4 linked regions of the Macaca fascicularis genome follow. The protein of the gene in region 1 interacts with the protein of each later gene in a pairwise test. Links are inferred from orthologs where the notes say so. Each region holds a gene or a part of one and is shown in the gene's direction. Other genes may lie near its edges. The genes, in order: SPG21, RABAC1, EFHC2 and DTX3L.

Region 1 (7,137 bases):
TTCCTTTGTCTTTGTTTTTTTTTTTTTTTTTTTTTTTTTTTGAGACGGAGTCTCGCTCTGTCGCCCAGGCTGGAGTGCAGTGGCGCGATCTCGGCTCACTGCAAGCTCCGCCTCCCGGGTTCACGCCATTCTCCCGCCTCAGCCTCCCGAGTAGCTGGGACTAGAGGCGCCCGCCACCGCGCCCGGCTAATTTTTTTTTTGTATTTTTAGTAGAGATGGGGTTTCACCGTGTTAGCCAGGATGGTCTCGATCTCCTGACCTCATGATCCACCCGTCTCGGCCTCCCAAAGTGCTGGGATTACAGGCTTGAGCCACCGCGCCCGGCCTCCTTTTTCTTTTTTTTTTAAAGAGAGAGGATCTCTCCCTCTGTTGCTCAGGCTGGAGTGTTGTTGTATTTTTATTTATTTATTTATTTATTTATTTATTTTAAAGAGACAGGATCTGGGCTGGGTGCAGTGGCTCATGCCTGTAATCCCAGCACTTTGGGAGGCCAAGGCAGGTGGATCATGAGGTCAGGAGTTCAAGACCAGCCTAACCAATATGGTGAAACCCCATCTCAACTAAAAGTACAAAAAATTAGCTGGGCATGGGAGCACGTGCCTGTAATCTCAGCTACTTGGGAGGCTGAGGCAGGAGAATTGCTTGAACCTGGGAGGCAGAGGTTGCAGTGAGCCGAGATCGTGCCGCTGCACTCCAGCCTGGGCTACAGAGTGAGACTCCATCTCAAAAAAAAAAAAAAGAAAAAAAGAGAGAGAGACAGGATCTCCCTCTGGTGCTTGGGCTGGAGTGTTGTGCGATCATATAGCTCAATGCAGCCTTGAACTCCTGGGCTCAAGCGATTGTTGTGTCTCAGCCTCTCAAGTAGCTGGGACTATAGGTGTGTACCATCGCACCTGGTTAATTTTTTCATTTTTTGTAGAGATGGGGATCTCACTATGTTGCCCAGGTTGGTCTCAAACTCCTGGCCTCAAGCAGTCCTGCCTTTTGCCTCCCAAAACACTGAGATTACAGGCGTGAGCCATCACGCCTGGCCCTCAGCACATTGTTTTCTTTCTTCCTTTTTTTTTTTTTTTTTAAGACAGAGTCTTGCTCTGTTGTCCAGGCTGGAGCCCGATCTCAGCTCACTGCAACCTCCGCCTCCCAGTTTCAAGCAATTCTTTTGCCTCAGCTTCCCCAGTAGCTGGGATTAAAGGCATGTGCCACCATACCCAGCTAATGTCTATATTTTTAGTAGAGACAAGGTTTCACCATGTTGGCCAGGCTGGTCGCAAACTCCTGACCTCAGGTAATCTACCTGCCTTGACCTCCCAAAGTGCTAAGATTATAGGCGTGAGCCACCATGCCCGGCCCCCTCAGCTCTTCCAGTGCTCATTATTTCCCCGTCATGTTGGGTCAAGAACCACTCCATCAGGAAGGTTTCTGATTACCTTCCTCCTTCCTACCCACTTTTCACCAAAAAGCCAGTTTCTCTCTGTGCCACTCCCTAACCCCTACTGGTTTGATGTATTCTCCCAGGAGAGTGACACATAGACCTGCCTCGTTCCCCTTCTGTAGCAGAGTCTCCCCCACAACTCCCCAAAGGCTTGGTTTAGAGAGGCTCCTGAAGCATCTCCTGAGCTGGTGCTATCTCTACCCACCTATCCAGGTGGATAGAGACACGAGCTAGGAGCCTTGTCTCCCCATCAGCTCCCCTGTTCATACTCTGACCCTGCACATCCCAGCCAGTCCTCTGGGTCAGCACTGCAGAATGACTGCAGACTGCCCTCCTTGTACAGACACATTCTTAAACACACACACAACCAGAAATGTGGGAAGAAATAAGATGTCTTGTATAGAGTTCACTGTTTAATGTTAAGCAAAATAGATTTCTTCCTATTGTTGTGGATGGACGGGAAAGGTAGAAACTGAGAGAAGCAGCCAGGTGTGGTGGCTCATGCCGGTAATCTTAGCACTTTGGGAGGCTGATGCAGGCAGATCACCTGAGGTCAGAAGTTCGAGACCATCCTGGCCAACGTGGCAAAACCCTGTCTCTAATAGAAATACAAAAATTAGCTGGGTGTGGTGGCACATGCCTATAATCCCAACTACATTGGAGGCTAAGGCACAAGAATCGCTTGAACCTGGGAGGTGGAGGTTGCGGTGAGCCGAGATCACGCTGCTGCACTCTAACCTGGGCGACAGAGCGAGACTCTGTCTCAAAAAAAGAAAAAGGGTGGGGGGGAAGAAACAGAGAAGCAGCAGCCCTCTGGAAGATTATAAAGTAGTTCTAAGTAGTTCTGTGGAATATGTTAGCCCTGAGGAAAGAAAAGGAGACTAGAGGAGTCTGTCATGCATGCTAATCTGGTGTGAGCTTCAGGTTACCTTGTAACAAACAAGGCAGTAGTGTTAAAATTGTCAGTGAAATGATAGTGTAAAATAACATAAAAAGTGAATTTATAAGATTTTCCACTTTTTTCTTTTAAATTTCCCTCCAGATTATCGTAGATGATGATGACAGTAAGATATGGTCGCTCTATGATGCAGGCCCCCGAAGTATCAGGTGTCCTCTCATATTCCTGCCCCCTGTCAGTGGAACTGCAGATGTCTTTTTCCGGCAGATTTTGGCTCTGACTGGATGGGGTTACCGGGTTATCGCTGTAAGTATTACTGATTCAGTATTAAAATGTAGACCGACGTTTTGTGGGTTTGTGTGTGTGTGTGTGTGTGTGTGTGTGTGTGTGTGCTTCTGTCTCTGATCAGCTATAGTAATAGGCACAGTTTGTTTGTTTGTTTGTTTGTTGAGACGGAGTCTCACTCTGTCACCTAGGGCTGGAGTGCAGTGGCGTGATCTCAGCTCACTGCAACCTCCGTCTCCCAGGTTCAAGCAATTCTCCTGCCTCAGCCTCCTGAGTAGCTGGGATTACAGGTGCCCGCCACTATGCCCAGCTAATTTTTTGTATTTTTAGTAGAGACGGGGTTTCGCCATGTTGGCCAGGCTGGTCTCGAACTCCTGACCTCATGATTCACCTGCCTCAGCCTTACAAAGTGCTGAGATTCCAGCCATGAGCCACTGCGCCCGGCCGGGCAGTTTTTTTTAATTGAGGAAAGATATTGTTTGCCTATTTTAATATGTGAGATGAAGCCTTTTGAAGGAGGCTGGTGTGAGTCCACAGTCACACAGAGATTCAGAAGGAACAAACCTCTATTGGCAGCCTCTCCATGCCCAGCGTTTACGTGCATTCTCTCCTGACGCCCTTCTCTCAACTCGGAGTGGTTGGAAGTGTTGTCCTTGTTTACAGATGAAGAAACTGAGGTCTGGCTCACACAGCCAGTAAGTGGTGGAGGGAGGAACTGAGCTCTGTCTCCTGGCTCTGTTTCTGCTCCTCGTTTTATCACAGCACTGCTTCCAGGGTTGCTGAGCATGGAATATTAGACAACAAAGGGATTAGCTAACACACAAGTGACTGAAAAGCTGGCTTTTCGTGTAAATCTTTGATATTTGAGGTGAGATTCATTAATTAGCTCATATGTTAGCATTTGGTTAGGAAGTTTTTTGTTTATGATTAGTACTTTATAGCCGAGTTTGGTCTAAATCCAGTTTCCCACTGATCATTCTTGAGTCTTCTCTGGGAGAAAAGTGTGTGGGAAAGGCACTCTTCCTGGTGACTGATTTTTCTTTTTTCTTTTTTTTTTTTTTTGCATGCTTCCACTGTAACGACACAGGTTGGTCAGGACGTTGGTCTCCTAATTTCCCAGGAAGGAGACAGCCTTTTTAGCTGGCAGTCGCCTGCAGTATTCACTTGTAAGTGGTACTCCCGGTGGGAGTGCTGCTGTTAGTGTGTGTGTTATTTACTGTTGAAGGGGTGAAAAAGCATGTCACATGTCTTCTCTTGGAAGGTAACTGAAAGTTCTACTGAGGTTACCACCAACTGAGGCCACACAAAAGAAATCAGTTCCTCTTCCTCCTGAGAGCCCATCTCTTACTTGAGAAAACAGTTATCATCACCACCACCTGCTGCTTTTCTCCTGGGTCTTTTCTTCTCTGGCTTAATTTCTCCAGCTTCTTTAACCATTCGTCACATGACATGTTTGAGCCTCTGCAACATAATCCTCCTTTGTTCAGACTTTCAGTCATTCCTCTTCACAAACAGCATTCTAGAACAGGGTAGGAACTGCCCTCATCCAAGCCCTCTGCAGCCTGAGACATGACACTACCATTTTTGGTGGCCCCTGTTGATCAGCCAGGGAGGGGGAGCCAAGCAGCCTGCAGGTGCCCGTCCCACTTGGGAGTGCTGTCCAACAGCGTTTCTCGCTCCACAGTGGCAGATCATGAGAGCCTTGGCTTCTGGCTGGATGTTTCTTCTTTGCCCTCAAGGTTCTCGATGTGGGCTTTCCCTGTTTCGTTAGGAGGATAGTTAATCAAGAAAAGGTCAACAGCGTCTTGATCAGAATGTTCAGCTCCATGAGGTTGTGGAATTTATTTGATATTTGTTAGTATCTAGCAGTTATAATGCACAGACCTTTTTAAATTTTTTTTTGTTGTAATTGTAGATTCACATGCAGTGTAAAAAATAGTTCAGAGAAATATCCTTTTTACACATTTCCTCAGTTTCCGCCAAACCTTTGCAAAACTGTAGTACAATATCACAACCAGGATATTGATATTACTACAATCTACCAATCTCATTCAGGTTTCTCCAGTTCTGCTTGAACACATTTGTTTGTATGTATTAAGTTGTGTATAATTTTGTCACCTGTGTGGGCACAGATATTTATAAATTAAAGACTCCATGAAAATATCATCCCCTTTCTTTTAGGCTATCATCTGACTCAAATTCTCAAACTTTCTGCTAGGGAGAATCGGTTCCCCATTCTTTCTTGGCATGGTGGAAGTTTTACCCACAAATAGAATTTTAATAATAAAAGTCATACATCAAATCTAAAATGATCCCATAATTCATTTGGCAGTATCCATTCCAGTGATTCATCAGTAACAAAATGAACCTAAGTGCTTAAACAATAAGCCTGTTAGACGAGGTTTTTTGGGATTTGTTTTTGTTTTTGTTTTTGTTTTTTGGTGATGGAGACTCGCTCTGTCGCTCCAGCTAGAGTGCAGTAGTATGATCTCAGCTCATGCAACCTCCACCTCCCAGGCTCAAGCAATTCTCATGCCTCAGCTTCCCCAGTAGCTGGGATTACAGCTGCCTGCCACCATGCCTGGATAATTTTTGTATTTTTTTGGTAGAGATGGGGTTTCACCATGTTCCCCAGGCTGGTCTCAAACTCCTGACCTCAAGTGATTCCCCTGCCTCAGCCTCCCAAAGCGGTGGGATTACAAGCATGAGCCACTGCGCCCAGCCAGTGGGTTTTATATGTACATAAAAAAGGAATTCTTGACCAGGCACGGTGGCTTACGCCTGTAATCCCAACACTTCGGGAGGCCGAGGTGGGTGGATCACGAGGTCAGGAGATCGAGACCATCCTGGCTAACACAGTGAAACCCCCCGTCTCTACTAAAAATGCAAAAAAGAAAGAAAATTAGTTGGGCATGGTGGCACACGCCTGTAGTCCCAGCTACTTGAGAGACTGAGGCAGGAGAATCGCTTGAACCCAGGAGGCAGAGGTTGCAGTGAGCTGAGATCGTACCACTGCACTCCAGCATGGGTGACAGAGTGAGACTCCATCTCAAACAACAAAAAAAGGAATTCTTAGGGGACAAACCTGAGTCCCTTAGAAATGAGTTTGTGACTTGTACTTCTTTTTCCTCATCATTGCCAGCATTAATAGACAGGCTACATATAGTCAAGTACCATACTTCTTTTTCACAAACAGAAGTACAATAGCCTGGCATGGTACTTCTGTTGGCTCACACCCGTAATCCCAGCACTTTGGGAAGCTGAGGCAGTCAAATCGCTTGAGGCAGGCAAATCGCTTGAGCCCAGGAGTTCAAGACCAGCCTGGGCAACATGGCAAAACCCCATTTCTACAAAAAATATATATATAAAAATTAGCCAGGCATGGTGGTGCATGCCTGTGATTCCAGCTACTGGGGGGCTGAGGTGGGAGCATCGCTTGCGCCCAGGAGGTTGTGGCTGCAGTGAGCTTACAATTGTGCCAATGCACTCCAGCCTGGGTGAGAGAGAGAGACCCTATCTCAAAAACAAGCTGGGTGTAGTGGCTCGTGCCTGTAATTCTAACACTTTGGGAGGCCAAGGCAGGTGGATCACTTGAGGTCAGGAGTTTGAGACTAGCTTGGCCAACATGGCAAAACTGTGTCTGTACTAAAAATACAAAAATCAGCTGGGTATGGTGGTGGACATCTGTAATCTCAGCTACTCAGGAGGCTGAGGTAGGAGAATCACTCAAACCCGGGAGGCAGAGGTGGAATGAGTCGAGATCGCGCCACTGCCCTCCAGCCTGGGCAACAGAGGAGACTGTCTCAAGAAACAAACACCCCAAAGTACAATAAATGAAATAGAGTAACTAAGTCATTTAAAAGAAGAGGAACAACTTTACTGAATACCCCCTTAAAGAAATGCTACCAAAAAGAGAGGGAGCTCTCCTTAGAACAAATTTTGTTTCCATCTCTCCTGAGCTATAATTCTGAATGAAATTAGATTTAAGAGAAAACCATATTTCTTTACTGGGATGGGTTCTGGTATATTCATCCTTAAACCCCAGACTTTTTCAGCTGTTTAGAAAGGAAATTGATGGGAATTGAAATTGTTACTCACATAATATCATTAGAATGTGCTTACTTTTTATACTCTTTTAATTTGGTCTGTTAGATAAAATGTGAATTATGAAGTTTCGTAAAAAGTGAGAGCTTATTTTTACATATTTTGAATAAGGAGCAGCGCTTGAGCAAACGAGAAATGCCACTGTTTGAGTCCTAAGTTTTTCAAATACATGAGTTGCATTTTTACTTTTATGATTTTTAAAATAAAATTATTGTTACTATTTCAGTTGCAGTATCCAGTTTATTGGGACCATCTTGAGTTCTGTGATGGATTCAGAAAACTTTTAGACCATTTACAATTGGATAAAGTGAGTACCCTGAAACTAATTACATACATACAATTTTTTTTTATTTTTTGAGATGAAGTCTCACTCTGTCACCCAGGCTGGAGTGCAGTGGCACGATCTCGGCTCACTGCA
Region 2 (7,640 bases), on another chromosome or scaffold:
GACAATGGCTGAGGGAGAAGCTTCCAAATCTGAGGGGGAAAGGCAGTTGGAGGGCAGCGGCCACGTGCGCTGGACACCCCTCGTGACCCCAAGGTACAGTCTGATCCCGGTAGGGGCTACATGAGCCCAGACCTCTCCTAGGAAACCCACAAATACTGCTTTATCTATCTGGTGCAAGGGAAGAGACGCTCCCATAGACAGGTGGGGAGACTGAGGCCCAGAGAGGGGAGGGCCTTCCTTGAGGTCACACAGCAGGGACAGTGACCCCAGGTTTCTGGCTGAATGCACTAAGGTCTTCCTGCTCTCCCAGCACCACTTCCTTGGGGATCCCAGGAGGCAGGGAGGAGGCCTCAGGCTGGAGGGATCCATTTTTTTTTTTTTTTTTTTTTGAGACAGGGTCTCATTCTGTCGCCCAGGCTGGAGTACAGTGGCACAGTCACAGCTCACTGCAACCTCTGCCTCCTGGGTTCAAGTGACTCTCCTGACTCAGCCTTCCCAGTAGCTGGGATTACAGGCGCGCACCATCACGCGCAGCTAATTTTTTTTTTTTTTGTATGTTTAGTAAAGATGGGGTTTCACCATGTCGGGCAGGCTGCTCTCGAACTCCTGGCCTTAAGTGATCCGCGCACCTTGGCCTCCCAAAGTGCTGGGATTACAGGCGTGAGCCACCACACCCTGCCTGGAACTCACAATCTTCTTGGGTGTTCCCTCATCTCCCAGCACACCACCCGCCTACTCCCCTAATTCAGGGCCCATCTGCCAAAGGCCCCTTCTCTCAGGGACCCCATCTCTCACCATCTCTCATGATGTATCTGCCTCAGGCCCTCCTCTCCCACATTGCCCCTGTGTCCAGGCCCCATCTCCTGAAATTCCCTTATTCAAAGTCCCCCCCCGACCCTCCCACTCCTAGGGCCCCTCCTGCAATGTCCTTGCCCCTCAGACTCCACTGTCCCCCACCCCATCTCCCACCATGGCCCATGCTGTTCGATACCTCCAGGCCTCTGCCGCTATGTTCTCCGCTCAGAACAAAGACCAGTGGGTTTTGGAATGAAATTGCTTTCATTCAGTTCCTATAAGGAAACCCAATAGCTCTCATATCAAAAGTTAATCCTGGATCTCCCACAGCCGGCCATGGAAGAGGCAGCTGGAGCTCTGTCCCAATTCTATTCTCCAAGCTCTGTCTTTCCATGGAGGTTCTTCCAAGGGCTACCTCTGCTGCTCTGGCCCTTTGAATTCAGATGCTGCTCCCCTATTCCTGCTCGGGGGTAATCGTGCACTCCTCATTTGGCGTTTTGTTTTGAGATAGGGTCTCACTCTGTCGCCCAGGTTGAAGTGCAGTGGCACGCTCTTGGCTCACTGCAACCTCCGCCTCCTGGGTTCAAATGATTCTCCTGCCTCAGCCTCCCAAGTAGCTGGGATTACAGGCATGTGTATTTTTTTTAGTGGAGATGGGCTTTCGCCATGTTGGCCAGGCTGGTCTTGAACTCCTGACCTCAAGTGATCCGCCCGCCTGGGCCTCCCATAAGTGCTGGGATTACAGGTGTGAGACACCACACCCGGCCCCGCAGTCAAAGGAGTAGGATTTTCAAGTTTGAATCCTAGTTAGAAAACCTGATTCCAGGCCAGGTGCGATGGCTCACGCGTGTAATCCCAGCACTTTGGGAGGCTGAGGCTTAGGTGGGCGAATCACGAGGTCGGAGTTCAAGACCAGCCTGACCAACGTGATGAAACCCTGTCTCTACTGAAAATACAAAAATTAGCCAGGCATGGTGGCACGCACCTGTAATCCCAGCTACTTAGGAGGCCGAGGCAGGAGAATCGCTTGAACCCAGGAGGCGGAGGTTGCAATGAGCAGACATTGTGCCACTGCACTCCAGCTGGAACAACAGAGCGAAACTCCATCTCAAAAATGAAAAAGAAAACCCGATTCCACTAAAAGCCTGGGGGTGACAAAGAGGAAATAAATAGTAACTAGCCAATCTGATCTTCAAAGTGTAACTCTTCCATCTTCAGTGTGGGGCCCTTGCAAAGGGCTTCCCTGCCTATTGCACCACCAGCCCCTTGGACAGGGCCATCTTCCCCCCACCTCCTGGGAACGCCTTCCAGCAGGCTTCCAAGCACAAACCCTGAAGTGCCGTAGATCTTGGAAGACAAGACCTGGGCCTAAAAGAGTCACTTGGGGCCAGGCACAGTGGCTCATGCCTGTAATCCCAGCACATTGGGAGGCTGAGGTGGACGAATCCCAAGGTCAGGAGTTCGAGACCAACCTAGCCAACATGGTGAAACCCCGTCTTTACTAAAAATACAAAAAATTAGCTGGGCATAGTGGTGCACGCCTGTAATCCCAGCTAGTTGGGAGGCTGAGGCAGGAAAATCGCTTGAACTCAGGAGGCAGAGGTTGCAGTGAGCTGAGATTGTGCCATTGTACTCCAGCCTGGGCAACAAGAGTGAGACTCCATCCCAGAAAAACCCACAAAACTTCCCAACCTTTTCTCTTTCCCAATTTCACTCCCTCCTGTCCAAAGGTGTGTGTGTTTGCAGGTGGGGGGGGGGTGGTGGCGGTGCGGAGGTGTCCCTAGTCCCAACTCATTCATCTTTGGGACTCCACAAAGTGGGGCAGGGGGCAACCTCAGATACCCCTCCAGCAACCATGACCCACTCACTAGCCTCAATCTCTTGAGGAAGGAATCAATTCCCACAAACTCTCTAAATCTTTCTACTCAAAATGTGGTCCATGGACCAGCGGCATCAGCATCACCTGGGAACTCAGAAATGCGAATTATGGGCTCCACCCCAGACTTGCTGAATGAGAACATCTGGGGTGGGGCCCAGGAGTCTGTTTTAGCAAGCCCTCTAGTTGTTTTTTTATGCCCTCTAGAGTCAGAACGACAGCTCTGCACGGTCCCCATTGTGCCCTGCCTGGGAGAGTACACAACACCCTCTTCTGCCATTAGAGCTCCCATAACGCCCTCTTTCCTGACAGCGCACCTGCACCCTCCTGAAACTACAGGTCCCACAATGCCCAGAGGTGCGCGCCGTCACTTTCTGGGATTATATCTCCCAAGGTGTCTTGCGAGTCAGACCGCCATCATGGCGCCCACCCTCCCAGCCACCGTCAGGACTACAACTCCCACAATGATCGGCGGCAGAACTACAGTCCCCAGCTGCTCCCGAGCGGCGCCACGTCGACTCCGCTGGGTGGGGCCGGCCTCGGGCGGGGCCGGCGGGGTCTGCAGGGTACCGGGCTGGTTACAGCAGCTCTACCCCTCACGACGCAGACATGGCAGCCCAGAAGGACCAGCAGAAAGATGTCGAGGCGGAAGGGCTGAGCGCCACGTGAGCGAGCCGGCTCTAGGCCCTCGGACCCGAGGCCCGGGAGTCCGGGACCCTGGCCCCCTCCTCCCTCGAGTGCCCGGAGTCCCAGCCCCGAGACGCACAAGCGCTGGCCCCGGTCTCCTCTAATGGGACCCTGGCGTCTGGGCCCCTACCCCCCTCCCCGCCTGCGATTCAGTAATCTGGGGTCCCGGGAGGGAGTCCAAGCCCCCTTAAACCCCTTCTTTTGCGGGGGTCTGAGGCTCCATCCCGGTCCACCACTGACCCGGCCCCACCCCTCGCAGGACCCTGCTGCCGAAGCTGATTCCCTCCGGTGCAGGCCGGGAGTGGCTGGAGCGGCGCCGCGCGACTATCCGGCCGTGGGGCACCTTCGTGGACCAGCAGCGTTTCTCACGGCCCCGCAACCTGGGCGAGCTGTGCCAGCGCCTCGTACGCAACGTGGAGTACTACCAGAGCAACTATGTGTTCGTGTTCTTGGGCCTCATCCTGTACTGCGTGTGAGTGCATCCCGGGCCCTGCACCCGCACTAGCCCCGACCGGGTGGACCCCTCCTCTCACAGCTCAGGCCCCGCCCTTCAGCGCCCGGGCCCTCCTCTCACCACCCAGGCCCCCCTCCTACCGCCCAGGCCCCTCCCCTCACCGCCCAGGCCCCTCCTCTCACCGCCCAGGCCGGCCCCGCCCCCAAGGATTGGCTCTGCTAGACCTACTTTGTCACCAAAGGGCCAGGTCCCTACCCCACCATCACCCTGGCCAGGATGCAGTGTGACTGAATGTCACCTGGCCCTCCCTGGTCTCCAGAATGTAGCTTGCCTCCCGCCGGTGGAGAAGGCCAGGGCTCCCTGGCTGACCAGCCCCAGCTGCCTAACCGCTGCCTCCCTGCACTCCTCCTCCAGGGTGACGTCCCCTATGTTGCTGGTGGCTCTGGCTGTCTTTTTCGGCGCCTGTTACATTCTCTATCTGCGCACCTTGCAGTCCAAGCTTGTGCTTTTTGGTGAGAAACCCCCTGCCCAGATGAATCCTTGGTCCCTCGAATCTTGGTCTTTTGGAATGCAAACCTCAGACCCCAAATCCAAGTCCTTCAAAACCCAAGTCCGCCGAAGCCTAGATGTACACTAGATCTCCCAAACCTGATCCTTTAAAAATCTCAGACACAACCGATGCTCCCATCGAGTCTCAGCCCCCTCAAATTGCTATTCCTCAAACCTAGGCTCCACCTGGCTGCTGTGCCTTAAACCTACTCCTCTTCAAACCACATGACTCCTCCCCTCTCTCCTCCCCTTGCCGCTTTCTGCGGCAAGCATCAGCTGCAGGTGCCCACACTGGACACCAGGTGGCGAACTTACACTGGCCTAGATCTGTTCCCGTTTCTTTTCCTGCTTTCTGGGATGTGACCAGAAAGAACTTGGAACTTGGGGAAGCTGAGGAGTGTGTTTCATGTGGTTCCCAGACTAGTACCAAGGACCACTGGGAGAACAAAATGCCAGGGGAAATTCCCCCCAGGGGAAAATCAAGGTTTGGAGTGGGGTCAGGGAGTTGGGATTGGGCTGTCAGGTAGACCTGAAGGCCAGGCTCTTCAGGGGCCTGCAAGTTATGTGCATGACGGGCTTAGGGGGAGGGAGCGCCTGCAGCACAGGCACCAGAGCATGCAGACCCCATCCCTGAGACTTCTATGGGAAGCGTGAAGTTGGTATTTTTATGTGAAATCATTCACTTTGCCAGCCACAAATCACATCCTTGTAAAACATCTCAAAACAAACACACATCCACAGGTCAGATTTGGCCTTTGGGCCACCAGTTTGAGACCCCTGGTCTGCGTGAGGGTTGCAGCAGGAGAGCCCTAGTCTAGGGAGCAGGAAGCTGGGATCCCAGGAACTTCCTGGAGGATGTGGGGCAGAGGGCAGAGCGTGGGGCTGAGGCAGGCGAGGACGGTGTGCTGTGTTCTGGAGGGCAGTGAGGACACCAGGGGAGCAGGGTGACCCCAGGACCTGGAGGGCCTTGGCATGAGGAGTTTGGATTTGATCCCGAGGACCTGAAGCTTATACAGATTGTTGGGGGGCAGCAGGGGTTACTCTGGGAGAGGGCATGAAGGGTCGGAACAGCGCCCCAATGCCATCTGCTTTCAGGCCGAGAGGTGAGCCCAGCGCATCAGTACGCTCTGGCTGGAGGCATCTCCTTCCCCTTCTTCTGGCTGGCTGGTGCGGGCTCGGCCGTCTTCTGGGTGCTGGGTGAGTACAGGGTCTGAGCAGCTGGGGTGGATGGTGGGGGCCAGGTACAGGAGCATGGCCCTGAGCTGCCGGCTTTCCTGCAGGAGCCACCCTGGTGGTCATCGGCTCCCATGCTGCCTTCCACCAGATTGAGGCTGTGGACGGGGAGGAGCTGCAGATGGAACCCGTGTGAGGTGTCTTCTGGGACCTGCCAGCCTCCCGGGCCAGCTGCCCCGCCCCTGCCTACTCCTTCCTGCACAGCTCTGCTGCTCGGGCCCATAGCGCCGTCCCATCACAAGCCCGGGGAGGGATCCCGCCTTTGAAAATAAAGCTGTTACGGGTGTCATTCAGGAAATACTCCCCTAGCATCTTCTGTGGGTCTCTATGGGTGCAGCTGGGAATACTGTGCAGATCAGGGTTGGGGTGGAACCTGGGGTGTGGGCAAGATGATAAGGTAAACAGGTAAAATATTAATGGGATGCCCAATGGTGGTGAGTGCTGAGGAGGAGAAAAGAGTTGAGAAGGACAGTGTGCCGGGGGTCCCCGAGACCACCCCCGGGTTTGATGGTTCTCTAGGACTCGGGAATCAGAGAGCACCCCAGGTTTGATGGTTCTCTAGGACTTGGGAATCAGAGAGCACCCCAGGTTTGATGGTTCTCTAGGACTTGGGAATCAGAGCACCCCAGGTTTGATGGTTTTCTAGGACTCGGGAATCAGAGAGCACCCCAGGTTTGATGGTTCTCTAGGACTCGGGAATCAGAGCACCCCAGGTTTGATGGTTCTCTAGGACTCGGGAATCAGAGCACCCCAGGTTTGATGGTTCTCTAGGACTCGGGAATCAGAGAGCACCCCAGGTTTGATGGTTCTCTAGGACTTGGGAATCAGAGCACCCCAGGTTTGATGGTTCTCTAGGACTTGGGAATCAGAGCACCCCAGGTTTGATGGTTCTCTAGGACTTGGGAATCAGAGCACCCCAGGTTTGATGGTTCTCTAGGACTTGGGAATCAGAGCACCCCAGGTTTGATGGTTCTCTAGGACTTGGGAATCAGAGCACCCCAGGTTTGATGGTTCTCTAGGACTTGGGAATCAGAGAGCACCCCAGGTTTGATGGTTCTCTAGGACTTGGGAATCAGAGCACCCCAGGTTTGATGGTTCTCTAGGACTTGGGAATCAGTATGCAATTGCACTGATAGCTCTGATTTACTCTCATCAAAGGATATGGAGCCAAGTCAGCCAAAAGAAAAGGTACATGGAGTGAACTCAGGAAACCAGGCATGCACTTCCAGAGGCCACACCTGATTCCTCCAGCAGTGGATCATGGTGACATGTGTGAAATGTCAGCCAGGGATACTCTGATCCTAGCCTCGGCGCCCTCGGTTTCATGGGGGCAGCTACAAGAGCACCTTTTCTCCAACACATACCAAAATGCCAGGCTCCCAGAAGGAAGGCCTGGGCCTGCACAAACAGCCTAGATAGACACAGCGAGCCACTCTATCAGGAAGTGATAAGACCCCTCCTGACACCCAAGTTCCCAGCCAAGGACCAGCTGTGCACCCAGGCCTGTCTAAAGACAGCAGTCTGGGGTAGAACCTGCCAGGTTAACTCTTTTCTGCACAGAGAAAGTTCTGGAGTGAGTTGCAAGTTAAAGAGGGTGACCAGAAAAGGCCTCCCTGATGTGACATTCACCAAAGACCTAAATTGAGAGAGGGAGCAGCCCAGATCCTTTGGAGGAAGAATAATTGGGGCAGAGGAAGCCACAGGGGCATAGCCCAGGAGATGGCAGCAGCCGGGAGGCTCAAGGGCAGCCAGGAGGTGGGTGTGGCTGGGGCAGATAAGCGAGAGGGACAGAGGGGGAGGCCAGGGAGCCTTGTGGGCCATGGTGAGGGCTCTGGGTTTACTCTGCATAAGATGAAAGACATACAGTTTGCTTTTGTGAGACGGGTTTTGCTTTGTTTCCCAGGCTGGTCTCAAATTCCTGGGCTCAAGTGATTCTCCCCCTGCAGCCTCCCAAAGTTCTGGGAGTACTGGTGTGAGCCACTATGTTCAGCCCAGTTTGCTTCTTGCCTTTTCTTTTTTGAGACAGAGTCTCACTTTATGGCCCAG
Region 3 (7,137 bases), on another chromosome or scaffold:
AGGGTGGAGTTGCCATCCACTGAGATGAGAAAGACTGGAGATGGGATAGGTTTAGGGACAAGAGTAGAAGTTCAGTTTTAGAATGAGTTAAGTTTGGGATGTCTATTAGATATCAAGTGGCAATACCAAGTAGGCAATTGAATACATGTGTGAGTATAGGGTTCAGAAGATAGGTGGACATGGATACCATCAGCATGTAGATGGTATTTAAAGCCATGATACCAAATGGTATTAAAGCCTTGAGATTGCATGAGATCACCAAGGGAGTGAATATACATAGAGCGGAGCATGACCAAGGAATAAACTCTGAAACATCCCCAATTAGGAACTTGGGGAAAAAAGGAGGAACCAACAAAGGAGACTAAAAAGGAGCAAACAAGGAGGTAGGAGCAAAACCAAGAGAATGCTGGATCCCGGAAGCCAGTGAAGCAAGAGTAACACTGAAGGAGTGATCATTTGTGCCGGTTGCTGCTGATTGGTTAAGTTAGATAGGCACAAAAAATTAAGCATTGGAATTGGCATTGTGGAGATCATTGTTGACCTCTACAAGAGCAGTTTAGGTAGAGCAAACCTAATGGAAATGGATTCGAGAGAAAATGGGAGAAGAATTTGACATAATGATTTTAGATAACTCCGAGCTGTACGTAGAAAAAGTTAAGCCATGGCTTCTGGACCTAGGAATTTATAATTTGTTTGGGGACAACGGGAACAAACACATTTTTAAAACAACCATCCAAGAGTACAAGTCTATATAGAGCTAATTTGGGTGTGATCTTACAATTGATGCAGGAGGTATAAGTAGGTGGTCAGCTGGAGTATTGTGATAAAAAAGAATATTCTGGGAAGTTTGAGAAGTAGTTATTAGGGAAATATCTGAAGACACTTGCAGTGCTTCTCAAAGTATGCCCAGGTGACCACCTTATCAGAATCTTCTGGGGTGCTTATTAATAATGCAGGTTTCTGGAGATGTGAGCTAGCTACTGAATCCCCCCATATCTCTGGGGATGGGACTCTGGATTCTGTATATTTAACAAGCTCCCCAGGTGATTTTTATATACAATAAACTTTGTGAACTGCTAGTCTGAAAATTTTATTGAGTAGATTATATTCTTGATTGATGAGATCTCCAGAACACTAGATTTAGGTAAAAAAAAAAAAAAAAGGCATATTGAATGTGTGAAGAACCCACACTTAACATATACACTTATAAATTATAAGAAGTTAAATTTACAGTAATATTTCTTTTCCTGAAGTTAGACCTATCCTGTTTCAGTGATATTTCGGGTATCTGAAATGTTATGGCTTTTTTGTGTGAGAGGGGCTACCAAATCTATTTGTTACTTACAAACCCAATTATGTACCAGCGAAGATGGTTGACAAGGCATAGCTTCTCCCCGCGCCCCACGCACTATATGAGGTCTGTCTGAAGCCTGGGAACTCGGTACTGAGAAAACAGCCATGCAGACCTGGCTGCTTTGCTCAGGCTGTTTTGGGGTGAGCTTTCCAAACTGCTGCATACCATCTCACATGGGGCCTCAAGCCTAGGAATCTTGGTGCCATCCTTTCTTAGCCATCATTCTTGTACAGCCCGAGAAAGGGGCAGAGAAAAGCACTTTTGCCTCTGCAAGTCAGAAATACTTGTTTTATTTTTCTAATCACTGTGGACACAAGGAAAGAATGATCTTCAGCCTAGGAGACCCTGCAAGGGAAGACTTCTGTGCATAGAGTTGTGACAGAGGACATGGTTTATTATCCTGTGTATCTCCCTGGGGTAATGATTTTAGTTATCAAAGACCTCTCCAAGGGTTTACTGTTTGTTACAAAGTCCACCTTTCACTAGCTGATATCCGCAGACATGCTTCTGCTGACAGATCAGAAATCAGTTTCTTCAGTGACCAGGCAATCAACTTTGGTAACTTTTAATTCTGTAATTTCATCCTATCTTTATCTATGCATAAAATTCTGAGTGCAAATTCCAATCAATACAGATCTCATAACAATTTTCCATAAACATTTATTGAATACTTATAATGTAAAAAGTATTATATTAGATAATGGTTAATAAGACAGTCTTTGTCCTTGGAAAACAGACTTGTAATGGCTTACAATATGAGTGATAAGCGCTATTAAAAAAAAAAAAAAAAGGTGGGTCCATCCTATGTGTTATAGCATTTGAAAAGGAAAAGTTAATTTGTCTCTTGAAGAAAGTTGGGGGGATGCTGGGGAGCTGGAGGAGTGAGTCAGAGAGGGGAGGATGTGGGCTGGAAAACAGAAAAGCAAAGGGCATGAGACAGTGAGTGGTGAATGGGGGAGGTAGCCTCAGATACTGGCAGAGCCCAGGATTGCCCACGCAGTAGGGCTAGGTGCTTGCTCTTCTTTCCAGCATGATTATTGTGATTGGTGACTAGCCTCGTCATTAGAGAACAGCCAGTTAGCGCAGCTGGTTTGAGCAGTGTGTTTATGACGTTTGTTTTGGGTTCATTTTCCCAATGTGTTACCCAGGACATGTGAAGAATGAGAGATATCTTAATATACTGAGAAAATTCCTCTGCATTTAGATTTAGAACCTTAATTAGAAGACGGTTGAACTCTTTCACTTTGGACAGTTTATGCCTACTCTATTAAAGCCATATTATACCTTTTGCAGACTTTTAAAGACATAATATGTGGAAGATTACCTGTATAATGCTGTAACTCTCATTTCTGTTCCATTTAGCTATGGCTTCAAAAGCAATATACTCCGTTTTTTTGCAAAACTAGTCACAGACAAATGTGTTGACTTGGACAGGATGTTTGTTATTTCATATTATCTCAGTGATGACACCATTTCAGTGTTTGAACCTATAGAGAGGAATTCAGGTAAGAGATATCCTTCTCACAGTATTTTCTTGAGAATGTTTTAAGTGTCTCTTCATGTTGAAAATTAGGGAACATGATCTGGTTTTGTAGCCTAGATTATCTACAATAGAGGCTTTATTTAAAAAAAAAAAAAAAAACCCGAACAATAGAGTTCTTTTTACAAATCTCTTAAATGGGAACCTAAACATTTAAAATGATAGAAGTGAAACAGTTTTGGTTGGCTTAGGGCCAGGGGACCTGGAGTTACTTCCTTTTTGCCACTATCCCCACTTCCACTGTGACTTCTGAGGCACCTCTGTGGAACCCAAGGGCTTCAAATTCATGGTCTGGGTACCACTAGTTTTACTTGTAGCCAGCAAGCCAAGAGGAAGTCTGCATTCTTGATAGTCCTACTTACAAAATTTTTGTTTGGCTGTAAGACAAGAATCCCAGATACACAAATTCAATCGTCAGGGTCCATCTTTATCTGGTCCTTCTGTCTGTTGAGGTTGTTGCCAAGGTTCCCGCACTCAGACCCATAGAATGCCTCTCTGCAATATGCTGGTACCACCGTCACTGCTGAGGAGAGCCATTGACTTACCCAATCATGGCACTGTAGGACCCTGTTCTTTGTCTCAACACGTTTAGAACTTTTATCTGTGCTGAAGACATGCATTTGGGAAGAATAATCAGTGATGTGCTGGTTAAGTGGCTCTTTGAAAAGATTTTAAAAGCCCTGATTTGTACTGTTTGCCAGTTTCCATGGTGTGAATACCCCAACCATGGCCAATTTCAAGCAGCCAAGAGTTTAAAAACTGGCTTGCAAAATCTCTGAAAATTCGACTCTCAGCTCCTATGAGCTGATATGAGCTACTTAGCACAGCGATGAGTAATGAATAACTTGTATAACTAAGGCTCCACAGTGATTTGAATAATGGATCAAATCTTAAAATATGAAATTGCATAGGGATGAATATAAGTCATGCTCTTACAGGTCAAAAATCAACTCTGTACACTTAGAATGGGGGAGATGTGGCCAAACAAGTTGCAGCATGTGTGAAACAGAAAGCAGTGATGATAGTCAGCAGCAAGCTTACTAGTAATCACAGTGGCCATGATGGAGAACTTACTATTATCCTTACAAGGACTTTATGAGGTTAGATTTTGTGTTAGTCCAGCTCCTCCGAGAAGCAACTACCAAGACAGGATTAAATGTGCAAGAGATTTAATAGGGGGAATGCTGGTGAGGGAAAATGTGGAAGGAGCCAGAAGAGGCTGGGAGAGCTGTCAGACTATAGTGCAGTTCTGACACCTGTGAAGCTCAGAGGGAAGGAAGAAAGAGGGAGTCTTAGACTGCAGTGAAATTCTAAGAAAATTTCGACAAGGTCGACAGGGAGTCCTTGAGGCAAAGTTGCTAGTTGGAGGAGTCCTTGTTTTGTAGGAGTGAGCCTGTCTTACTATCCCTGCCTTGGTCACTCATCTATTGGTAGCAGCCCGTGGGAAGAGTGACCTCAACACACACCTGAAGATTGATTTAAGAACACAACAGCTGGGGCCTTCCATCAGTTATGTTCTTCGCTATAGGCGACCTGAGAAGTACATTTTCTGGACCTCCACACATCTGATTCCCATTGTACCAATAAGAATTCAGAGAGATTAAATAACTCCTAAAGATCACCCAGCAAGTAAGTGACAGAACTCGGAAGCCTGTGTCTTTTTACCACCTATCATTTCTGAATGTGGTAGGAGAAGGGGGATGAAGTGGCCCAAAAGCTTATCTGGTCTCAGGCTATATTTATAGGTCTGTAGATTTCAGTTCAGTATCAGAAGATGCTGGAGTTCCCTGTTCAACTCTACTGGCTACTTTCCAAGAGGTCACAACAAATAATGTCTAGAAGAGAACAGATGAAATGGTGACAGCTCTGGAAACTAATATGAAGCGTTACTAAAAGAAGCAAAGGGATTTTACCTGTAGGAAAAAATGACTTAAGGGGACTCCCATAGTTACCTTTAAACACTTAAGTAATCTCCTTTACAGAAGTAGGGCATTTGCTACTTAATCTGCATGTCAGATTAAATATAAGACATCATCTGGGACAAATAGGTGGAAATATGCACAAGTGAGGAATTTTCTAACTGGTACTGTTCAAACATGCTCTAAAGATGAGTATCTTCCTGATGTTCCACACTCCCAGTATGCTGCTGGGCATATATAGGAGGTCCCTGCCAAGTGCTTATTGGACTGGGAAGAGAGTAGAGAGAGAGAAAAAAAGGCTAGAATTACACATCATTTTCTCTCTCTCTCTCTTTTTTTTTTTTTTTTGAGATGGAATCTTGCTATGCTGCTCAGGCTGGTCTTGTACTCCTGGCCTCAAGCGATCCTCGTGCCTCAGCGTCTTGCGTTGCTGGGACTGCAGGCACATGCCACCATGCCCGGCTTTGCTTTTTGTCTTGAACACCCTTGCCTAGGAATTCTTACTCCTTCACTCACTGCCTCATTCTTCCCTTAAGTCCAAAACAATAGGCAATATTAGTTCACAGGTAACTTATATGGTGGTCTGTGCTTGAAGATAAAGTAACTCTGAAGGCAAGTCAGATGGTTCTTTTAAGAATAAAGGCTGCTCATGAACTTTTCTATTTTTCTATAGGAATTACCGGTGGGATGTTCTTGAAAAGAAGTCGCGTTAAGAAGCCTGGACAAGAAGTCTTTAAAAGTGAACTATCTGAATATATCAAGGCTGAGGACCTGTACATTGGAGTCACAGTGAATGTGAATGGTTACCTATTTCGTTTGCTCAATGCTGATGAGTATACCTTAAACTACATGGAGCAGAATACAGATAAGGTGAATTTACTTTGTGTAATTCTTCACTTGCCTCTCAGCCCTCCGCAGTCTGTGTTTTTCTTTCTCTAGGGCCTTTTCTTCTTCATCTTGCCACCAGTTTTACATTGTGCATTCATACATGTGGGCATGAATAATGGATTCGTGTGACTTGGCCACATGTCCCATCACAGAGGCCAGGTTCTTGTCTACTCTGTTTACATGCTGGGTTCTCCTCTGCCCAGCATCACAGATTCCAGGCACAGGCAGGAGGCAGGGCCAGCGTTGAATCAAGTTTCCTGGGTTTTTTGCTGACACTAACAATGTTTTCAGAAAGAAATTCAACTACTATAGGAAAGGAAGAAAAATCTGGTGCCACACACTGTGCCGTCCCAGTTAATTGGCACAGGCCAACAGAGAAGGCCAAGACCTGAACAAACAGAAACCTCAAGGGAACTGAATAGTTGCTGGAGTTGCAACTTCCCATAACAGTGGCCACCTGAGGCCTAAATAAGGATTTCAGGATAAACTGGCGACAGTGAGCTCAAAGAGTTTTTTTTTTTTTTTTTCAAATAAGATGGCAGATGGGTACTGTTACTGCAGGTGCCATTATGGCAATGCTGTTCAGTAAAAATAACATATTGATAAAATCTGGATTTTAAATGTGGGCTAGTTCAGTGTACAAACATGTTTATTTGGGAATCATTGCCTAATATGGAAAAATCTATCTGGAAAATTTTATTTTAAAAGTTTACCTATAAGTGATAATATTTATGTAGCATTTATATACATACAGTGCCAATTTTGTCTCATTTATATATAAAATGCCTGGGGTTAAGTTGCTAAGATCAGTGTCTCTGGGTACATCACATCATTCATATCAGTTTGGGTCCTCTGAGAAGCAGACGCCAAGACAGAATGAGAAGTGTGAGAGATGTCGTGGGGGAAATTTCTGAGAAGGATAAAGGGGGAGGGGGACAGGAGCGGGCAGGGGGGCCTTCAGACCAGGAGACAGGTTGAACCCCTGTGGAAGGAGAGAGAAAGGAAGGAGGGGTGGGTAGGGAAAGCCTCAGCTGACAGCGCAGCTCTGAGAATGTCTCACTTTCTCAGTGAAGGGGAGCCCCAGAGCACAGACTGCCCATCAGAGAGGTCCCCTGTCAGGCAGGAATGGCCTGGCTCTAGTTCCCCTGCTGTGCTGTGTCATTGGGTGGGAACAGCCTGGGGAGAGGGTGGCCCCAGCAGCGACATTGCCTGTGAACTCTGTGTGAATCTGGAAGATATGGCAGCTGGAGTCTGTCAGGCAATGATGCTCTTCTCCACAGGGTCTCTCTTGACAGGAGGCCTGCAAAGCGCCCTCCATGGCTGCCACACCATCTCTCCATTTATAGTCTTAGGGATGCAGGTTATCATAAAACCATGAACCAGGAGCTATTCGAAAACACTGAATCTAGACAAGAAGCTCAGTAATCGGGAGTTTA
Region 4 (7,894 bases), on another chromosome or scaffold:
TAAACTTCTGGAATGAGTAATGGACTCTCCTGTCCACCTGCCCACTCAGCCTACTATAACCTGGCTCCCTGTCTCATTCCCAGCACCCTTTAGAAACTGCCAGTGGCCAGGCACGGCGGCTCACACTTGTGATCCCAGCACTTTGGGAGGCAGAGGCAGGCGGATTGCTTGAGCTCAGGAGTTCAAGACTAACCTGGGCAACATGGCAAGACCTCATCTCTACTAAAAACACAAAAAGTTAGCTGCACATGTTGGCACATGCCTATAGTCCCAGCTACTTGGGAGGCTGAGATGGGAGGATCACTTGGTGGGAAGCTAAGGCTGCAGTGAGCTGTGATCATGCCACTGCACTCCAACCTGGGCAACAGGAATGAGACCCTGTCTCAAAGAAAAAAGGAGAGAAACTGCTCATCAGAATCCCCCATGTGGTTAATGCCAATGGATTATCTTCTATCCATCTTTACTGGACCACTTTCTATAGTATTTCACTCTTTCATTCCTGAAATCCTGCTTTCTTGGCTTCTCCTATGCCATCTTCCCTTGGTTCTTTTATTACCCTTCACTTTACCTTTACAGGCCTTTTCCCTGCGTTCACTTCCACCATACCCCTCTTAATTGTTTGCTCCAGGATTCTGTCTAAGGCATTTTTCATCTCATTCTACATGCTCTGCAGGAGTGAACTCATCCACTCCCGCGGCGTCAACTCACCAACTGCAAATATGACTCTAATATCTGCAGTTCTAGGCCATGGCTCTCCTGAGCCCCATTTTTCAACTCCACCTGGAGGTCTCACAGTCCCCTCAAATAAGCCTCTGCATATCTCCTGGTCTCCAATCCTCCATCCCACCCCCACCAAATCCATACTTTATCTCCTGGATTCTGCAGCTCAGTAAATGATAATACCATTTATGCACTCAAATCAGAAATCTAGCAACTTTCCCTCAGTCTTTTTTGTCTCATATCTGGGACCTGACAACCTAAATCACTTTCAAATATGCCCCTACCTTCCTCACCCACTGACACTGCTTCACCTCAGGGTCTCAGCACCTTTTGCCTGAGCTGTGGCAATATACTCTTTTCTTTTCTTTTCTTTTCTTTCCTTTCCTTTCCTTTCTTTTTGTTTCTTTCTTTTTCTTTTCTTTTCTTTTTTTTTTTTTTTTTTTTTTTTAAGACAGAGTCTCACTTTGTGGCCCAGGCTGTGGCGTGATCTTGGCTCACTGCAAGCTCCACCTCCCGGGTTCATGCCATTCTCCTGCCTCAGTCTCCTGAGTAGCTGGGACTACAGGTGCCCCCCACCACGTCCAGCTAATTTTTTTTTTTTTTTTGTATTTTTTTAGTAGAGCTGGGGTTTCACTGTGTTAGTCAGGATGGTCTCGATCTCCTGACCTCGTGATCCACCTGCCTCAGCCTCCCAAAGTGCTGGGATTACAGGCATGAGCCTCCACGCCCAGCCAGCAATATACTCTTTTCAAAGATTTAAATGTACCTGATTTGACATTTTATTGTTTGAATAGGTATTACATTTACGATGTATAAGAAAATGTAAAAGGTTTCCTCCTATCTCCCCTACTAAATTCCCTGTCCAGAGTGCTTCTCCTGTATTCTTCCAGTGGCATTTTTTACACAAAAGGTAGTAGCTTATATACACCCTTCTGCATCTTATGTTTCTCACGTAATGTATCCTAGAGATCTTATCATATTAGCACATAGAGAGCTTCTTCATTTTTCCCACTGCCCATTGTATTCCATTGTATAGATATATTATTATTATTAAACTGCTGGTCCCCCTATTTATGGACATTAAAGAGTTACCTATCTTTTGCCATTGTAAACAAGGCTGTAAAGAACATCTTTGTACACAGGTCACTTCACACAGGGGCTAATATAGCAATGGGACAAATCCCTAGAAATGGAACTCCAGAATCAAAAAGCATATGCTGTTGTAATTCTGACAGTACTGCCAAATTGCTCACAGTGAAGACTGACCCATTTCCAGTCTTACCAGCCATGTGCAAAAACCTTATCTCTGTCCTCTCTGCCGCCAGTCATCCCTGCTTGTAAATGTGTCTTCCACACCATTGTCAGCACCATATTTCTAAAATGCATATCTGGCAAGTCATTTTCTTGCTTTCCCTGCTTACAACCCTTCAAGTCATATTTACTGCTCTTCAAAGCTTTTCACCATCTAAATATGTGCTGTCCAGGGTGGACTATCAGCCTCACGTAGCTACTGAGGCTACATGTGGCCAGTCTGAATCGAGATGTGATGTAAGTGTAAGAAAAACACTGGGTTGCAAAGATGCAGTATGATAAAAAGAATGTAAAAAGCTCATTATGTGCTGAAATGATTAAGTTTTGGATATGTCAAGTTAAATAACATCATTACAATTAATTTCATCCGTTTCTTTATCCTTTAAAAAATATGGCTGCAAAAATTTTAGAATGAACATACTGGCTCACATTGTATCTCTGTTGGACAGTGCCCATCTAGGTAGGCCCTCCCTCCCTCATCCCCTCACCCATCTCCTCTCCTCCCAGGCCCCAGGCCCACTCTGTGCTTCAGACCATAGTGGTCCCTAAGCCTTAGGTGCTTTTCCCCCCAACCCTGTCCTCCCCATCTCGTCGCCACACTCAGTTTATTAAGATGCTGCTTGAAACTTCTCCTTGGAGGCCTTGAAGAAGTTTTGCTCCCTGGTTCACAGGTCCGCCTCCCCTCACCAGCCCTTGACATCAGGGCCTTGCTCTGCTCTTTGGGCAGCAAGAAACAATTCAGTGCTGTTGGTTAAATCAAGCAATGGAGGAGAAAAGCCCCCAGGAGCCTGTCTAAAGGGTAGAGTTGGAGGGAGGGAAGGGGTAACAGGTCACAATTACCAGATGAACACATTCAAATTTTCAAAAATGGGTAAGTTTAACATGGATTCAGATGTGAATTACTTTTTAGCATCAAATAATAGTGATAACAGCAGTAAGAGTTACAAAGAATAAGAAACACAGGAGAAACTTACTTTCTTTGCATAGTCTACTCATAAGGGAGGCCTGGCCCTGGGATCCTGGTCCGCGCCCGCCCCCACTCTCCGCCCCCCCCGTACCCCGAGCCTGCAGGAAAGGGGACCCCGAGGGCCCAGGGGCACCGGACCTACCCACCCGGCAGACCACTCGCCTCGGTGCAGACAGCACAGGGAAGAGGGGGAAGCAGCTCTGCTGGGAACAGGGAGGGACCTCCGGGGAAGCGAAACTGAAACTTTGCGCCTAGTCGGCGGGGCGGGCCGCGCCTTTACCCCAGTCCCGGCCCAGCGGCGTCCCGGAGCCCCCGCGCCCTCCCGACGCGCAGAGCCATGGCCTCCGACCTGCGCCCGCCGTCCCCGCTCCTCGTGCGGGTGTCCGGGTCCGGCCTCCGGGTACAACGGAAGCTGGAGAGCTACTTCCAGAGCTCTAAGTCCTCGGGCGGCGGAGAGTGCACGGTCAGGCCCCAGGAACACGAAGCCCCGGGCACCTTCCGGGTGGAGTTCAGTGAAAGGGCAGGTGAGCTTCGGGCGGTCGGGCTGCGAAAGCCGAAAGCCGTCTCTGGGGCCCCGACTCCCGGGTTTCCAGGCGGACCCAGTTCCAGCTGACCTAGGGGAGAGGGCGGAAGAAAGTATGCCACTGTGCGGTGGCGGACAGGGACGGGGCCCTGCTGCCAAGAGACTCACTGAGACAGGGAACACTCGGTGGAGGATAGGGCCTCACATGTGCCCGGTGCGGATCCGGCTAACCCCGCCTTAGTGTGGATGTTTTCCATATCCTCATTCTAACTTAATTTCTCAGCTGTCATCTTCCATCCTCCAGATGCCTGTCAGCTGCCGTCCTTGTCATTCAGGGATTCCACTTTTATGTTTTAAATAATGGTTCCATTGTTCCATCCATTAACAAAAGGATGTTCCATTTTGTATTTTTGAGGATTACAAAAGTGATATATGCTCACTATAGAAATAAGAGAAAAGAGTAAAAAAGAAAACAACCTGGAGATAAACAATGTGTCCATTTGGTGTATTTTCTTCCTGCCCTTTTTTACGAATGCCAGCAAACACACGTGTATTTACACAATTCGGAGTCTGCACTTTTGATACTTGCTGCTGTAACTTACCTGTATAATGAGTATTGAAATGGGAGACCAGGATGGGTGTGGTGGCTCACGCCTATAATCCTAGCACTTTGGAGGCCGAGGTTGGTGGATCACTTGAGGCCAGGAGTTCAAGACCAGGCTGGCCAACATGGCGAAATTCCGTCTCTACTAAGAATACAAAAATACCTGAGCGTGGTGGTGCGCACCTGTAATCCAAGCTACTCCGGAGGCTGAGGCAGGAGAATCGCTTGAACTCGGGAGGCAGAGAGTTGCAGTGGGACGAGGTCGCACCATTGCACTCCAGCCTGGGTGACAGAGTGAGACTCCGTCTCAAAAAACAAAACAAAACAAAAAAACAAAAAGGGAGGGAGGGAAATAAAGAAGGAAGGAAGAAAGGGGAGACTGGAGACAGTTTCAGAAACATGACGTTTAATGAGTGGACAATGTTCCATTGTCGTTAAGCTTTCACTTCTGTAGTAAAACTTAATCCGCACACTTCAGAACTCTTAATAGCTCCCCAATTTCCTCCATCGCCAACCCACCATTCCGGGGTGCAGTGAGCAGCCTTACTGGGAGGTGCTGGGGCAGGGTACAGACACAGGAATGACAGGATTACTTGAAATCTCTCCCATTTTTATGTATGTATATGTGTGTGTTTAATGTTTCTGCTGAAGCTAAGGAGAGAGTGTTGAAAAAAGGAGAACACCAAATGCTTGTTGACAACGAACCTGTGCCCATTTTCCTGGTACCCACTGAAAATTCAATAAAGAAGAACATGAGACCTCAAATTTCTTCACTGACACAGTCACAAGCAGAAACACCGTCTAGTGATACGCATCAACATGAAGGACATATTCCTAATGCTGTGGATTCCTGTCTCGAAAAGGTGAGTATTGAAAGAAGGAGCTGGCTGTACCTGCGCCTCCTCTCCAGTCACCAGCCTCATGTATTATTGATCCAACACCCATGTGCTGGGCACATACATGGGAGCCAGGCACTGTTTTAGGCACTGGACACAGAGACGAACACAACAGACAAGGTCCCTGCTCTCAGGCGGCTCATATTGGGGCCCAGGGCATGCACAGAAAGACAGTAGGCAAGTGAAATAATTAGAACCATTTTATTTATTTGGAGAGAAACAGGGCTAGGGCGAGCAAAGGGAAGATGGGGGTGGTGTTATTTCTTTTTTCCCCCAACAAGACAGAGTCTCACTTTATCACCTAGGCTGGAGTACAGTGGCATAATCATGGCTCACTGCAGCGTTGACCTCCTGGGCTCGAGCGATCCTCTCACCTCAGCCTCCTGAGTAGCTAGGACTACAGGCGCCACTACACCCAGCCAATTTTTTTTTTTTTTTTTGGTAGAAACGGAGTCTCACTATGTTGCCCAGGCTGTTCTCAAACTCCTGGGCTCAAGCGATCTGCCCGCCTTGGCCTCCCAAAGTGCTGGGATTACAGTCATGAATTACTGCGCCTAGCCTGGTTCTACTTCTAACCAGAAATCAGAGACAACTTGACTGAGGAGGTGACGTTTGGCCTGCAACTTGAATGATGACAAGATTCATTCAACAATAGATATCCACTGCTTAATGTGTTCCAGGCACTGTTATAGGAGCTGGGGAGGCAGCCAGGAACATGGCAGACTCTGCTTCTGGGGATGGCACCTTCTAGTGAGAGAAACAGACAATATTAATAAACAAATAGATATATAATAAAATGTCTGCCAGTCATACCTGCTAGAAAGAAGAATAAGAAGAATACGTGACAGACAATGACAGAACCACCATTTAAAATAGGATGTCTGGAAAAACCTCAAGTGAGATGACATCTCTAGCCAAGTGGATTTCTGGGGGGAAAATGTCCTAGAGGGAAGCATAGGTACAAAGGCCCCAAGAGCTGACATTCTGAGGCCCAGAAGCTTGAAGGAAGCCAGTGTGGTGGGAGGGCAGTGAGCAAGGGAGAGAGGTGCTAGGAACTCGGGAAGGTACACAGAAGACAGGCCTTTGGGGCTGAAGATAAGGATTTTGGATTTTTAACTTAAAATGTTAGGGAATTCATCAGATAGTTTTGAGCCAGGGGAGAGACGATCTGGTTTATATTTCTAAACGGTCACTCTGGCTGCTGTTGGAAAACTGAACATAGGAAGGGGCTAGAATGGAGAATTAGAACCCAGTTAGGAGGGGTTGCAATGCGCCAGGTGAAAGATGAGAATGGCATGGACTTTGGGTGGCCTTGATGGAGGTGTGAAAAATGGCTGGATTCAGGAAACATTTTGAAGATCTGGAGGAAGGATTTACATGCAAAGTCCTTGAGAAGGAACAAAACATTAGAAATTTTGCTTTTATATTACATTTAATTGGCCTCTGTCCTTTTTATCTTAACCTGGCACGTCTTATATTTGAGCTTCTAAAGGCCAGGGTTTAGAAGGGACCGACAACTTCGCATGCAGTCAGGTGTTAAAAAGAAAAAAGGAGGAGGAGTGAAGAAGAGAAAAAACAGTCATAGGAAAGCCATTTTCCTCAGCTTTATGGCTCCCTTCCAAGTTCACAGACATTTGTGAGGGCCATGACAACTCGCCCAGAGAGCACAGTGCCTTCCCTTGACTGCTGTTCCCAAGATCAAACAGATAGTGGCAGTTGTAGAACACAGATCTCTTGGCCATGGAGCTTTCAGAAATGCTCATGCCCAGGCTCCACTGCAGACTAGTTAACATTAGAATCTCTGGGGATGTGCTTGGGCTTTGGCTGGTTTATTTTTCCCTGAACTTGCCAGGTGAGTCTTATATGCAGACAGGGTTGAGAACCTCTGGGATGTAGCATGCTGTATCCTCTAAAAAGGATTTGAGGCCGGGCACAGTGGCTCTCGCCTGTAATCCCAGCACTTTGGGAGGCCGAGGCAGGCGGATCACCTGAGGTTGGGAGTTCCAGGCCAGCCTGACCAACATGGAGAAACCTTGTCTCTTCTAAAAATACAAAATTAGCCAGGCATGGCGGCGCATGCCTGTAATCCCAGCTACTCGGGAGGCTGAGGCAGGAGAATCTCTTGAACCCAGGAGGCGGAGGTTGCGGTGAGCCGAGATCATGCCATTGCACTTCAGCCTGGGTAACAAGAGCGAAACTCCATCTCTAAATAAATAAATAAATAAATAAATAAATAGGATATGAAAGAAGTTGCCCCCTGCTTGGGGAAGATGTAGATGTAGTGGTTGTTTCTCTAGTCTCTATGCATTCTCCTGAAGAGAAGATGGTAGGTCTGCATGCTGAGAGGTTTTATTTGTTCCTGTTCCTTTTAAAATTTCAGATCTTTCTTACTGTAACAGCTGACCTGAACTGTAACCTGTTCTCCAAAGAGCAGAGGGCATACATAACCACACTGTGCCCTAGTATCAGAAAAATGGAAGGTCACGATGGAATTGAGAAGGTGTGTGGTGACTTCCAAGACATTGAAAAAATACATCAATTTTTGAGTGAGCAGTTCCTGGAAAGTGAGCGGAAACAAGAATTTTCCCCTTCAATGACAGAGAGGAAGCCACTCAGTCAGCAGGAGAGGGACAGCTACATTTCTCCTTCTGAACCAGAAACCAAGACAGAAGAAAAAAGCAACTGTTTTGAAGTTTCCTTGCCTTACTTTGAATACTTTAAATATATCTGTCCTGATAAAATCGACTCAATAGAGAAAAGATTTGGTATAAACATTGAAATCCAGGACAGTTCTCCAAATATGGTCTGTTTAGATTTCACCTCAAGTCAATCAGGTGACCTGGAAGCAGCTCGTGAGTCTTTTGCTAGTGAAT

The links.
Region 2: the proteins of SPG21 (region 1) and RABAC1 interact in binary tests that used the Homo sapiens proteins (3 or more experiments, as listed by UniProt). The two-hybrid records come from large-scale screens. The link is inferred for Macaca fascicularis from reciprocal best matches to the Homo sapiens genes SPG21 and RABAC1.
Region 3: the proteins of SPG21 (region 1) and EFHC2 interact in binary tests that used the Homo sapiens proteins (3 or more experiments, as listed by UniProt). The two-hybrid records come from large-scale screens. The link is inferred for Macaca fascicularis from reciprocal best matches to the Homo sapiens genes SPG21 and EFHC2.
Region 4: the proteins of SPG21 (region 1) and DTX3L interact in binary tests that used the Homo sapiens proteins (3 or more experiments, as listed by UniProt). The two-hybrid records come from large-scale screens. The link is inferred for Macaca fascicularis from reciprocal best matches to the Homo sapiens genes SPG21 and DTX3L.

Annotation. Positions count from the first base shown.
Region 1 is NC_088381.1:41,565,727-41,572,863, reverse strand, and holds part of SPG21 (maspardin), read left to right. Parts: intron 1-2,474; coding exon 2,475-2,636; intron 2,637-6,945; coding exon 6,946-7,026; intron 7,027-7,137. UniProt on the Homo sapiens protein: May play a role as a negative regulatory factor in CD4-dependent T-cell activation.
Region 2 is NC_088393.1:48,996,972-49,004,611, reverse strand, and holds RABAC1 (prenylated Rab acceptor protein 1), read left to right. Parts: upstream 1-3,196; 5' UTR 3,197-3,280; coding exon 3,281-3,336; intron 3,337-3,617; coding exon 3,618-3,830; intron 3,831-4,226; coding exon 4,227-4,324; intron 4,325-5,456; coding exon 5,457-5,558; intron 5,559-5,641; coding exon 5,642-5,730; 3' UTR 5,731-5,892; downstream 5,893-7,640. UniProt on the Homo sapiens protein: General Rab protein regulator required for vesicle formation from the Golgi complex. May control vesicle docking and fusion by mediating the action of Rab GTPases to the SNARE complexes.
Region 3 is NC_088395.1:44,292,876-44,300,012, reverse strand, and holds part of EFHC2 (EF-hand domain-containing family member C2), read left to right. Parts: intron 1-2,716; coding exon 2,717-2,859; intron 2,860-5,486; coding exon 5,487-5,683; intron 5,684-7,137. UniProt on the Homo sapiens protein: Microtubule inner protein (MIP) part of the dynein-decorated doublet microtubules (DMTs) in cilia axoneme, which is required for motile cilia beating.
Region 4 is NC_088376.1:160,681,477-160,689,370, reverse strand, and holds the start of DTX3L (E3 ubiquitin-protein ligase DTX3L), read left to right. Parts: upstream 1-3,281; 5' UTR 3,282-3,335; coding exon 3,336-3,522; exon of another isoform or gene 3,523-3,702; intron 3,703-4,776; coding exon 4,777-4,988; intron 4,989-7,401; coding exon 7,402-7,894.